Canis lupus familiaris: one gene and its partners. The protein of the gene in region 2 purifies or fractionates together with the protein of the main gene of each other region. This does not show direct contact. Links are inferred from orthologs where the notes say so. Each region holds a gene or a part of one and is shown on either strand. Other genes may lie near its edges.

What was found.
Region 1: the proteins of ITCH (region 2) and DVL2 purify together in Homo sapiens (affinity purification with western blotting; 4 studies listed by BioGRID and IntAct, with this or other methods). This does not show direct contact. The link is inferred for Canis lupus familiaris from reciprocal best matches to the Homo sapiens genes ITCH and DVL2.
Region 3: the proteins of ITCH (region 2) and FAM189A2 purify together in Homo sapiens (co-immunoprecipitation; 3 studies listed by BioGRID and IntAct, counting the BioPlex papers as one, with this or other methods). This does not show direct contact. The link is inferred for Canis lupus familiaris from reciprocal best matches to the Homo sapiens genes ITCH and ENTREP1.

Annotation. Positions count from the first base shown.
Region 1 is NC_049226.1:32,406,429-32,410,172, reverse strand, and holds the start of DVL2 (segment polarity protein dishevelled homolog DVL-2), read left to right. Parts: upstream 1-1,381; 5' UTR 1,382-1,424; coding exon 1,425-1,618; intron 1,619-1,706; exon of another isoform or gene 1,707-2,643; intron 2,644-3,319; exon of another isoform or gene 3,320-3,744. Other genes in the region: PHF23 (PHD finger protein 23), read left to right, coding at 1-57.
Region 2 is NC_049245.1:23,988,949-23,992,692, forward strand, and holds the start of ITCH (E3 ubiquitin-protein ligase Itchy homolog), read left to right. Parts: upstream 1-1,201; 5' UTR 1,202-1,325; intron 1,326-3,744. UniProt on the Homo sapiens protein: Acts as an Acts as an E3 ubiquitin-protein ligase which accepts ubiquitin from an E2 ubiquitin-conjugating enzyme in the form of a thioester and then directly transfers the ubiquitin to targeted substrates.
Region 3 is NC_049222.1:88,739,492-88,743,235, reverse strand, and holds the start of FAM189A2 (protein FAM189A2), read left to right. Parts: upstream 1-1,198; coding exon 1,199-1,630; intron 1,631-3,744. UniProt on the Homo sapiens protein: Functions as an activator of the E3 ubiquitin protein ligase ITCH in the ubiquitination of the CXCL12-activated CXCR4 receptor. Thereby, triggers CXCR4 endocytosis and desensitization, negatively regulating the CXCL12/CXCR4 signaling pathway.

The DNA of each region.
Region 1 (3,744 bases), on a different chromosome or scaffold from region 2:
GAACTGCGGCCAGAGGCCCGGCGGTTAGGGGGTACTCCCAAGTCTGGAGAGCCCTGACATCGCCGTGCCTAGGCTGGGACTTCCATGTGACAGCATGACTTGGGAGCTGAGCCTCCGGGTCTTCGGCCCGTCCCCCTGGAGCTTGGGTATTGTCCCACTGGGAGGCAGGAATTCCCACTGGAGGCTGGTTTGGAAAGGAGTGTCTCACGTTCCAACCTTATCTTTCCTTCCCGCCTTGTGGACTTGAATATGGACCTGCTGCAGTTGGGGGTGAGAGGCTGGTCCCTAGACACATAATTTCTGTTCCTTAGACCTGCCACCCTTCGCTTTCTGGGCCAGGGTTGGAATTGGGGTGGAATGGGACAGCTGGCTATAAAACTCTAGTGTAAATAGAGCACTCCCCTTCTTCATCTTTTCTTTTATCTCCCCATTTATTCTACACCGGTTGTATTTTTAATTTTGGACTTCCCCTTTTGGGCAGGGCAGCTCGGAGGTGGAGTACCAACCAGGGTCTGGCCAAGGGAGGAAGGAAAACAGGTGACGATATGTTCGCTCACCTCTTTTGTTTTTAATAATATTGGCCAGCTGTTTGTACAGACAGCCTGCGTGTTGTAAATAAAGCAGAGTGGGCTCTTTTGTGTTTATAGCCCTCCCTGACTGTCCTGCTTGGGTGGGGGCGCGGTGGAAAAGCAGAAGGCGCGGGGGGCTGAAGCCCACCTCCAGAGCAGAAAACCACCCGGCTCTGCGCGCCCCCACCCCCCAGCTCCCCAGACCCCCGCCCCCAGCCTGGCCCTCAGTCGGCTTGCTTCCACCGGGCACCCCAGCCCAGGACCCCCATCCTATCTCCCAACACGCACGCTCCAGGGAATCAGCGTTGTTTGGAGCTCTCCGCCCGAGTGGGGCCAAACGGGATGGGTACCGGTGGCCAGGCCCCCCGAAGGCCAGTGCCGGCCTCCGCCGGGGTGCTCGGAGGACGCGGGTGGGGACACATTTGGGGGCGGGGCCGTCGAGGGCTAGGAGACCGTTGCTGAAAGCAATGATCACGTGGCGCTGGCACTGGGCGGAGCCTGTAGGTCACGTGGTCGGTGGAGTCACGTGACGGAGGGCGGGCCGCCGCGGACCACGTGACATGGGGAGAGGTGGGCGGGGTGCTGCAGGGCGCCCGCGACGTCGGCGGCGGTGGCGCGCGGTGGCGGCGGCGACGGCGGCCGAGTCTGCGGCATCGGGTCGAGCCCTCCGGCCCGCCCCCTTCCCTTCCGTCGGCCGCCACCCCGCTGATCCCCGCCGCCTTCCCGCCGCGCCTTTCCGGCGCCCGGCTGATCGTGTCCGCGCTCGCGCGGCGGGGTGCGGGTGTGCGCAGGCGCGGTGGGGGCGCTTCGCCCGGTTGGGTGGGCGGCGGGACCTGGGAGCGCGCGGGCGAGACCATGGCGGGCAGCGGCGCGGGGGGCGGCGGCGTCGGGGAGACGAAGGTGATTTACCACCTGGATGAGGAGGAGACTCCCTACCTGGTGAAGATCCCGGTTCCGGCGGAGCGCATCACCCTCGGTGATTTCAAGAGCGTCCTGCAGCGGCCCGCGGGCGCTAAGTACTTTTTCAAGTCTATGGATCAGGATTTCGGGTGAGCGCGAGGCCTAGGCTGGAACCGGTGGGGGCTGCGCGGCGGTGGATCGGCCACTGCTGAGGGGCACAGGTCGGCCCTAGGCCACGCTGGGTTTTTCTGGGCTGGAGTGCTGGACAGGGCATTATGCGGGGGTTAGATTGGGCATCCCAGGTTGGGTAAGGTTACGCTTGGACAAATCGAGACGCACGGAGCTCCAGGACGACACACCGGGCCGTGCCGAACCAGATCAGGAAAGATTAGGCTGTCCTGGAATAGAATGGGGCACACTGGTTTATTTGGGAGTTATTCTGGGTAATCCGATGCCTTTCGAGCAGTCCTGCGGCCCACGGGCAGTATTGTGGAATCTCCCGATGATTGGGCCGTGTTGGGGTGCTTTAGGGCATTCTAGACCATCCTAGAGCAGATAAGATTGTTTGGGGACATCTGGCCTGTTCTGGTGCAGAAAAGGGTGTGTTGGGATGTTCTAGGCTGCTTTGGAGCAGATTACCAGGCTCTCTCGGAAGAATTTCCTGCTCTTCTGTCTCTTCTGGGTTGTGTTGGTTGATCTTAAGTTTCTGTTGGGGTCAAGTGTTTCATGGGGACGCTCTGTAGAGAGGCAGACAAGGTTTTTGAGGCTATGCCAGTGCAGACAGCTGTATTGGGATAATCTGGTCTATATTGGTATGGACGGCTGCGTGTGGAGACGTTGTAGGTCATTGCTAAAATAGCCCAATATGGCTATTCTGGAGTGTTTGGAGTCATTCTGGGCCAGACTTGGATTCTTAATAATAAATTTGCTTATGGTTTTTGAGGCTGAGTTCTCCAGGTAGCCAGCCTCAGCTCTTGAAGGCAGGCTGGATTGGCCTGAGACAGCCCATGTTCTGGGATAGCTGAATGGACTGGCTTCTACTGAGAAAGACCGTTGGCCGTGAGGAAGGTGGGACTGTGTTGGGAGTTACCTTTGATTTAGATCGAAATTCCTGTTTGTTAGCAATGATATGACCCAGGAGATAGACACAGTTGGCACAAGAAACTTCGTATAGGTAAGCGATGCACAGTAATTTTTTAGCGAGTTGTGATGATCGCTAGCGTCGAGCTCAGCTAATCTGTAAACGGGGTTATGGTGATAGAGAGTGGAATCATTTGCCGGGCTGGGCTCCGCCGGGACTGGGTTACATCTCTAAGAATCCAGCATTATATCGAGACAGAGCAGTGGTAGGGATTGGGCTGAGTGGCCCTATCGATAACAAGTGGGATTAAGTTGTCACGCATCCAGGCTCCTAGAACCATATTAGGGTAAAGGGTTAATCAGACAGGCTGTCCTAATTTGGAGGTGAGGATGTGAGTATGAGAGAGACCTTCTGTTCAATACTCAGTCTCTCAGAGCTCGTGTTTGTTCATGAGATACTTGTTCAACAAGTATACTCGTTAACAGTATTGAACAGATATTTATTAACATTCACTTTACCACCATCAGGGTCTTTGCTGTGTGGCCAGGATGCAGTGTTGAACAGAATAGGCTGTGGTGGGATCCCTGGGTGGCGCAGCGGTTTGGCGCCTGCCTTTGGCCCAGGGCGCGATCCTGGAGACCCGGGATCGAATCCCACATCAGGCTCCCGGTGCATGGAGCCTGCTTCTCCCTCTGCCTATGTCTCTGCCTCTCTCTCTCTCTCTCTCTGTGACTATCATAAATAAATAAAAATTAAAAAAAAAAAAAAAGAAAAAAGAAAAAAAAAGAATAGGCTGTGGTGATCCCACGTGGTGGTTGAGAAGAAGGGGCAAAGTCCTGTCCATCCCAAGGAACCCAGGGGAGGAATGACCCCAAGGCTGGGCTTTGAGGTCCGTCAGGCAGAACAGGTTGCTCAGTGTAGAATTTTGTGCCAGATGAGCCCCGGGGGAAGGGGAAGGTGGGCTTCACCTCTCCTTGGGAGTGCTCAGCCTAGCCAGTAGGTGTCATCCTTGGGTCTCATGGGTATATTTTCGTGGGGGAAAGGTAGCATGTTGGGCTAGGGCTTTGGACATGACTCAGAGAAAACCAAGAAAGCATGAGAATAGAGACTTTGGAGGGTTTGGGGACGGTGCCTTGAGGAGCGGGGTAGGGCTCAGGGAGGTTTGGGGTCATTCTGGGCTGTTAGAGACACCAA
Region 2 (3,744 bases):
AAACTGCTGAGCTGCTGAGCCACCCAGACTGCCCAGTTTAATGAATCCTTCAGGAGATTTTTTCTCTCTCTTTTTTAAAGATTATATTTATTTATTCATGAGAGACACACAGAGAGATGCAGAGACATAGCAGAGAGACAAACAGGATCCCTGTGGGGAGCCTAATGTGGAATTCCATCCCAAGACCCTGGGATCACAGCCTGAGCGAAAGGTAGATGCGCAACCACTAAGCCACTCAGGTGCTCTTCTTTAGGAGATTCTGATGGGCACTAAAGTTTGAGAACCACTGCCTTGGAGATTCTGAATGGGTTAGGATCCAGAAGTCTGCATCATTAATAAGCTCTCTTAAGTCATATTGCAGGAATGCAATTTGAGAATTGAGAATTGAGATTTGAACATACTTTGAAAAATGCAAGTGACTTTCCAGATGGTAAAATATGTTCATAAGGAGGAAACAGGCTAAACAATAATAGCTAAGGTCATTAATTAGGAAGCCCTTATCTGGGCCTCTGAATTTACTTGCACAGCCTATTAATTCTCACAAACAACCCATAAAGAAGAGGATGGACTCTGAAGTCAAACTGCCTGGGTTCCTATCCAGCTTGTGACTTGGTTTACCCATCTGTAAAGTGAGGATAATGGAGGTAGTTTCCTTATAGATTTGTTGTGAGGATTAAAGAAGCTTATTGATCAGCTCTTCCAATACCTGCCAGATTGGCACCACTTACATGTAGGCTATTCTCATCATCCTTAAGCGTACTTTGTTAAAAGGTGGATTTGAACCCCATCAATTTAACTCCCCAGCGTTACTTTCTTAAGGACTAAACTATAATCCAGTGTTTCTGAAAGTGTGATTCCCCCACCAGAAGCACAGCCGAGTTAGAAATGCAAATTACTAGATCTCATCCCAGATCTGCTGAAACGGAAACTCTGGGGGTGGGGCTCTCCTAAATGTCAACAAGCCCTTCAGGTGTTTCTGATGCACAATAGCTTTTGGGAACCACAGCTACAGTCTTTAGAGGTTCTGGGGAAGTGGGCATACTTTAAAAAAAAAAAAAAAAAAAAAAAAGCCTAGAGTGGCTGCGAGCAATCCCATAGTCCCTCCTACTAAGGGCGAGTAAACTCCGGTGTAGCTGCGCTGCCCAGCTCCGGCCAATTCTCCCGGTCAGCGCGCAAGGCTTTCTGGGGCTTGTAGTCCACATCCCTGCCGAGCAGGAGGCGCCTGCGCGTTGGCCGCCAACTCGCTCTAGTCGCTGTGGTCTGGGCTCGGGACCGGCTGCCATCTTAGTCGAGGGACTGAAGAGTCGCCGCCGCCCCGAGTCCCGGTAAACATTCGCGGGCGGACTGGGGGCGCTTCTGGGTAGGAGGGGGAGCCCGCAAGAGAGTGTCGGAGGAGAACCAGGGGTGAAGGAGTGCGGCGCGCGGGCAGAGGACCCTAGAGCCGCGACTGCTCTCTCCTCTCTCACAGCCGGTGCCCGTGGGGGGCGCGGGGAGCTCGGGCTAGTGGCCGAGGGGTGGGTTGGCCGGAGACGCCGAGGAGCCACTTTTTGACCGAGGCGTGGGGAGCCCCTCGCCTCGCGGGCGCCAAGTTGTGAGAGGGCTGGGCCGCGTTGGGCGCCAGCTGGGGCCGGCCCCGCGCCCCTCAGCCCCGCCCGGGGGCCACTCTCCCGCGGCCCGGCCTACGCGCGGGGCCCGGCGGCAGCGGCCGGAGCGGCCGACGTGGCCCTGTGAGGGGCGGCGGCCGGGCCCACCTGCCACTCGGCTGGCCTTCCCGAGACTTTTTGGAGCCCCCAGTCACGAGGCAGGCCCAGCGTAGCGGCTGCCTTCTCTTTCTTACACTCCCCTCCTCCCTCCATTGTCCCCCATCGTGGTGGTCCCGGCCCAGGCGCCCTTTTCCGCGCCTGCTGCCGCGGCCCCGCGGGCACCTCCCGGCGCCGAGTTTTGCAGACGTGGAGCTGTCACTGCCCTCCCTCTTGAGTGCCCTTTTCTTTGGCAGAGAAAAGAAAAAAAAGTAGTCGTGAACGTATTCTAAGGGTGAGAACGTGATGAGGACACGACTTAGTGGGGGAACTCAAGTTTTCAGACACAGTCTCGGGCCACGGCTTACAGAGAAACACAGGGTCTGTGCGCTCAAGGTGGACGTTGGGCCTAAAGTTAAAGATGTAACAAGGTGAACGTGCAAACTACCCGAAATTCACGATTCCCCAATAACAACTCAGCTTTTCTCGGTTATATGCGCATGTTAGTCTTGTTACATTTTCTGCCATAATTCTACAGCTTCAGTATACTTTTTTGGGAGTGAGGGTTGGGGAAGGAAAAGTGGGATTTTTTTGCCCTTTGGAAATTATTGAGGCACTGGAGCCAGTCACTTATCATTGCACTTAGTTGGGGGGTCTCCCGCATCTTTTCTTAATCGATTTTAGGGAAGTATGTAAAGGCAGCGGATACTAACCCTCAAAATCAGCTAAGGATTTCTCAGCTGAAATAAAGTTCTCATGGCAGCTATGCTGGAAGCCTGCACTATGTATTTATTCATAGATTTACTCGGGGTACAGTTATCAACAGAATGTAAGGTTTTTGGGTGTGAGTCCAGAAGGAATTCCTTCATGGTCAGTATATGAATCAAGTCAAAAAGGACATGAAATAAAAAATGAGTGCAGAATACGTTTTCACAGTATTCCAGAGGGAATCATTTCTGAATTCTAAAACAAAACAAAACAAAAACAAAAAACAAAAAACAAAAAAAACCCATCTGTTCGCCTATTGAAAAAGATAGACAAACCAGTAGTTCCTCAAATTGCACATTAGAATAGTTAGGGGAGCTTTTTAAAAGTAGAAATTCCAGGGTCTCCTTTTCTGACATCAATTTAGTAGGTCTGCTTTTGCCCTGAAGAATTTATTTTTAAAACATGCCTCAGGCAGCTCTCTTGGTTTTGGGAACCACTGAGGCAAACAATACTGTGAATCTACTGAGAAGCTTGAGACAGAATTGGCCAGTTCTGTCTGGGGTTTGGCTGTTGAAGGTGGCAGGACCTGCTCCTGTCCTAAGTTTGGCCTTAGATGATGAGTGGGAATGTGATAAGGATGGGGTAAGGGAAGGACAGTGCTGTATGTAAATGCAGAAGATAGTGGGAGAAAAAGGGTTCAGGGAACAGGGAGTGGGATGGGGAAGGAGAGCATTGTAGGATGTGAGGTCAGAAAGGTAAAAGGAGGTAACTGAAAAGTTATAATGCTAAAAACTGGAGTTTTATGTTAGTAGATTCAGAATTTAGACAGGGAAGTGATATGAGTGACGTGTGTTGTAGAAAAATGGCTCTGGTGATGAGAGTGAAAGGGTGGAAGAGTGGCTATTGCAGAGGTCTAGGTGAGAGGTGAAAGGACTTAATGTTGGAGAGAGGCTGTGGGGATGCTCAAGGGATTAGATTTAGTTCTTTACTAGTGCAATATTGTTGCCATATTTTTGGATGAGACTTTTTGGGGCCAGACTGGGTAAAAAGGCTCTTGTTCTGTAAAAAGAACCCATTAGCAAATCTGAACAATATTACCAGGTTATATATATTAATGGTATCAAAATATATTGTTCATTAGTACTTTTGGAAAATTAGAACTAAATTGGTTGCATTTGGAGGAGAACTTGGAGATTACACTGAAATTTATGACTTTCAACACTACTGATCTAAGCCTGTTGGAAGTGTTTTTCTCTTGTACTCAGGAACTTGGTATTAGAATTTTGGAAGAGATAAT
Region 3 (3,744 bases), on a different chromosome or scaffold from region 2:
TTGTGCAGTAGGTTGGTTCCCTCTTACTGATTCAATGAACTGCCTAATATAATACCGAGACTGACTCACTGCAAAGCGACCCCTGCTCTGGTTGTGAACCTGGGGGGGGGGGGAGCCCTATTATAATGGTTTCATGTATAAGAACACTCTCAAGGGGCATCTGGGTGGCTCAGTGGTTGAGCACCTGGCTTTGGCTCAGGTTGGGGTCCTGGGATCAAGTCCCACATCGGGGCTCCCTGCAGGGAGCCTGCTTCTCCCTCTGCCTGTGTCCCTGCCTCTCTCTCTCATGAATAAATAAATAAAATCATTAAAAAGAGAGAGAATACTTTCAATACATAAGAATCTTTGGAGGGAAGGGCATATACTCTTAGAGAAATCTTTTTTGCAAAGGCAAGTCTTTTTTTTTTTTTAAGCCCTAAATATGCCTTATAAATCACCAAAAACGGATGAGGATTGATGAAGCCATTTCTTCCGAAGTTTGGGGATTCTGCGTTCCATGAGGCGAGGTGAGGCGGACCCGTGCTACCTTGGCCTCGCGCTCCGGGCCGCCCCCCGCTTCTGTCCTTCTGGATGCCGGACGCGTCCAGGTGAGCTGGAGCTCGCGCTGGCCCCTACCGTCGCTAGCGGGGAAGCAGCCCGGCCGCCCCCCCCCCCCCCCCCGGAAGCCCCGGCCAGCGGCGACTCGCTCTGCGTCGTCCTTCCCCGAAGCGGAGGCTTAGACTTCTCCCACCAAGTCACCATAGCCCCTCCCCCGGCCATGCCTCCCTCCCGGGGCGGGGGTGCAGGAGAAACTTTAAAGCCGGGCTCCCCCGCGTTACCGTAGCCGGGGCTCGGGCGGCGGCTGGACTGGCCGCGGGCGGGGGGCGGCGGCGCTCCGAGCTCGGCGCGCGGGGCCACCTCCCGGCTGCCGGCCGCGGCCCCCTCCTCGCGCCCGGGACCTGCCCGCCGGGTCGCAGCCGCGCCTCCCCGGGACCCCCGGGCGCAGGCGCAGGCGCGCGCGGCCGGCCGCGGAGGCGGACCCCCGGGGGCAGGTGGGCGCGGCCGGCGGGACCGGGGCGGCGGCGGCGGCGGCGGCGGCGAGTGGTTGGGCCGGGCTCGCTTCCTCCCCTCCCCCTGGGCCTCGGGGTCCGCCCGCGGTGCCCAGTGCGCGGCGCCCGCGGCCCCGCGGCGCGTCCCCTGCCGCCGCCGCCGCCCGTCCATGTCCCTGCCCGTGGTGCTCCCGGGCTCCTGCTGCCCCGTGGCCGGCCTCTCGGGCGGGCCGCAGGCCGGGGGCCCGGGCGCCGCCGCCGCCGCCGCCGCGCAGGAGCCGCCGCTGCCCCCGCTGCGGCCGCGCTGGCCCCGGGCCGCCCTGCAGCCCCCCGCGCGGCCCCGCTGCGCCGCCGCTGCCCCCGCCCCCGCCCCCGGGGTGCTGGCCCCGCCGCCCGCGCTCTCCTCCCGCCGGGCCGCCGCCGCCGCCGCCGCCGCCGCCGCCGCCCCGGGCTCCGCGCTGCTGCCCGCTCGCCCGCTGCTGTCGCTCGGGCTGCTGCAGCTGATCCTGGGCTGCTGCATGGTGGCGCTGAGCTTCGGGGCGCTGTCGCTGAGCAGCTCCCCGCAGGTGAAGAACTCGTGCCCCTTCTGGGCCGGCTCGTCGGTGAGTGAGTCGGGGAGCGCCGCGCCCGCGCGCCCGGACGGGGCCCGGTGGGGGTGGGGGTGGGGGTGGGGGTGGGGGAGACCCGGGGCCTCTGGCGGGCGCCGCCGCGGCGGGGGCCCCTACCCCGCACGCTCCCAGCCCCCCGGTTCCCGGCCCGGGGCTGCCGTGGGGAGCGCAGCCTCTTAAAACAGTCCAAGTTTTTGGAGACGTTGAAGCCGCACCAAAAAGAAGAAGAAGGAAAAAAAAGGCCCAAAGAGAGAGTAGTTTAGGGGCGAACTGGGTTGTACCTGGACACTGTCTGTTCCTTGCAGGCTAAAGGGTTTTGTTGTTCCTGTCGAGTCCATAGGATAAACTAGATTTCCAGCTCTGGGAGATTGGACGAATGGGGGTGGATGGATGGATGGTAGGAAAGTAGGAGGAAAAAACGATTCCCCTTGGGGCCGCTTAGCATTTACTTCTGCGAAAACGTCTGGGCGGGGAGGGCAGTCATTTGACCCGTTTTGTCTCAGGAGGTAGTCACAGTGCCTGGCACATAGTAGGTGTATTTGCCCGGTGACTGAAGTGACAGCTTGACTGGGGCACGCCATTTATTTTATTCCAATTTAAGGCACACGGAAATGTGAAATGTATCGGGTAGGATGGCTTCACTCTGGGGACAAGTTCAGGAGATAATGGCAGGGTGTGTGCAAACACACTTGTACCTGGTCATTAAGGGAGGGCCCTAAACTCCCACTTGATTATTGGAGCCAGGCAGGCTGCTGTGCAGATTTTAATTCTCAAGAACCCAAAGTGTCATTATGCATGAGCTCTCCAAAGCCTCAGGAGCAGGGGACAGGTAACCAGAGATGTCTGGCCTTGCTCCCCTCCCCTCCCCCTGGACTCCAGGTGGCTACTCATCCCTGCCTCCTAAAATGTCAGAGCTTCTAAGGCACCCAACCTCTTGAGGTTTGCTGGGGGTTGAGAGACTGGGAAATATAGGTCTTTGTGGAACGATTGTGGAAGATGGGTATTTGAGAGTAACCAACCTTTTTTATGAAGTAACTAAATCTGAAAGTCTGGCGGTGCCAATAGTTGAAGATCTGTAATGAATGCATGTGCCCAATAAACATAAAATTGTCCTTTTGCAGGTCCATGCATACCCAGATTCAAGACCAGATTTTAAGAATATAGGGGCAACTCAGGGATCCCTGGGTGGCTCAGCAGTTTAGCCCCTGCCTTTGGCCCAGGGAGTGATCCTCGAGTCCCGGGATGGAGTCCCGTGTCGGGTTCCCAGCATGGAGCCTGCTTCTGCCTCTCTCTCTCTCTCTCTCTCTCTCTCTCTCATGAATAAATGAATTTAAAAAATAATTAAAAAAAATAAGAATATAGGGTTAACTAACTGAACCCAAAGTAATTGTTTGAATAAGAACATCGAGAACATTAGGTGCAGTGAGCCCAGCCTGGTGTTTTATACTTAAACAGAGGCCAATTTGCTTTCCTTTTGAAATCCTCTGACCTGGATGGTCTTACTGTGGAATAGCCCATGCTGTGATAACTGGAGTCCACACTCTGTACATCATGTAAGAGGAATCCCACCCTCCTTGGCCCTGGTACCGGGCTCTTCCCAGGGCCTCCTGGAGTCTTTTTTTTAAACAGGGTAGGGTTTAGATTCATTATGCTCCCTAGTCCACTCGTCAGACCAAATTCAGCCAAATGGTGGGTGCATTTCATTTCTCTAAATACCGTGGGTCGGACGTGAGTCTTGGATACATTTGTAGGGATTTCCTCTTTATAAAATCATAATCTCTCGTCCTCTCAAAGATTGCTAGTTTAGGATTATTTAAAATTATTTTTTTCTCTTCTGAAATCGAAACCCTCAAATCAGTGTATGACTGAATTATTTCAGAGGCAAATACACTTAGATGTCAGTCAATAAAGAGTTGGATTTGGTGAAATATATATATGTATACACACACACACACACACACACACACACATTCTTACATACAGCCATCAGTCAGAAGATGAAGACTGTTCCTGGACCTGCTGGCTGGGCGTGGCCTTGTATTCTAGGATCCAGCAAAACAGAGCAGGGAAACAATCGGTGACTTGGAACTAAATTCTCTTCTGCTGGA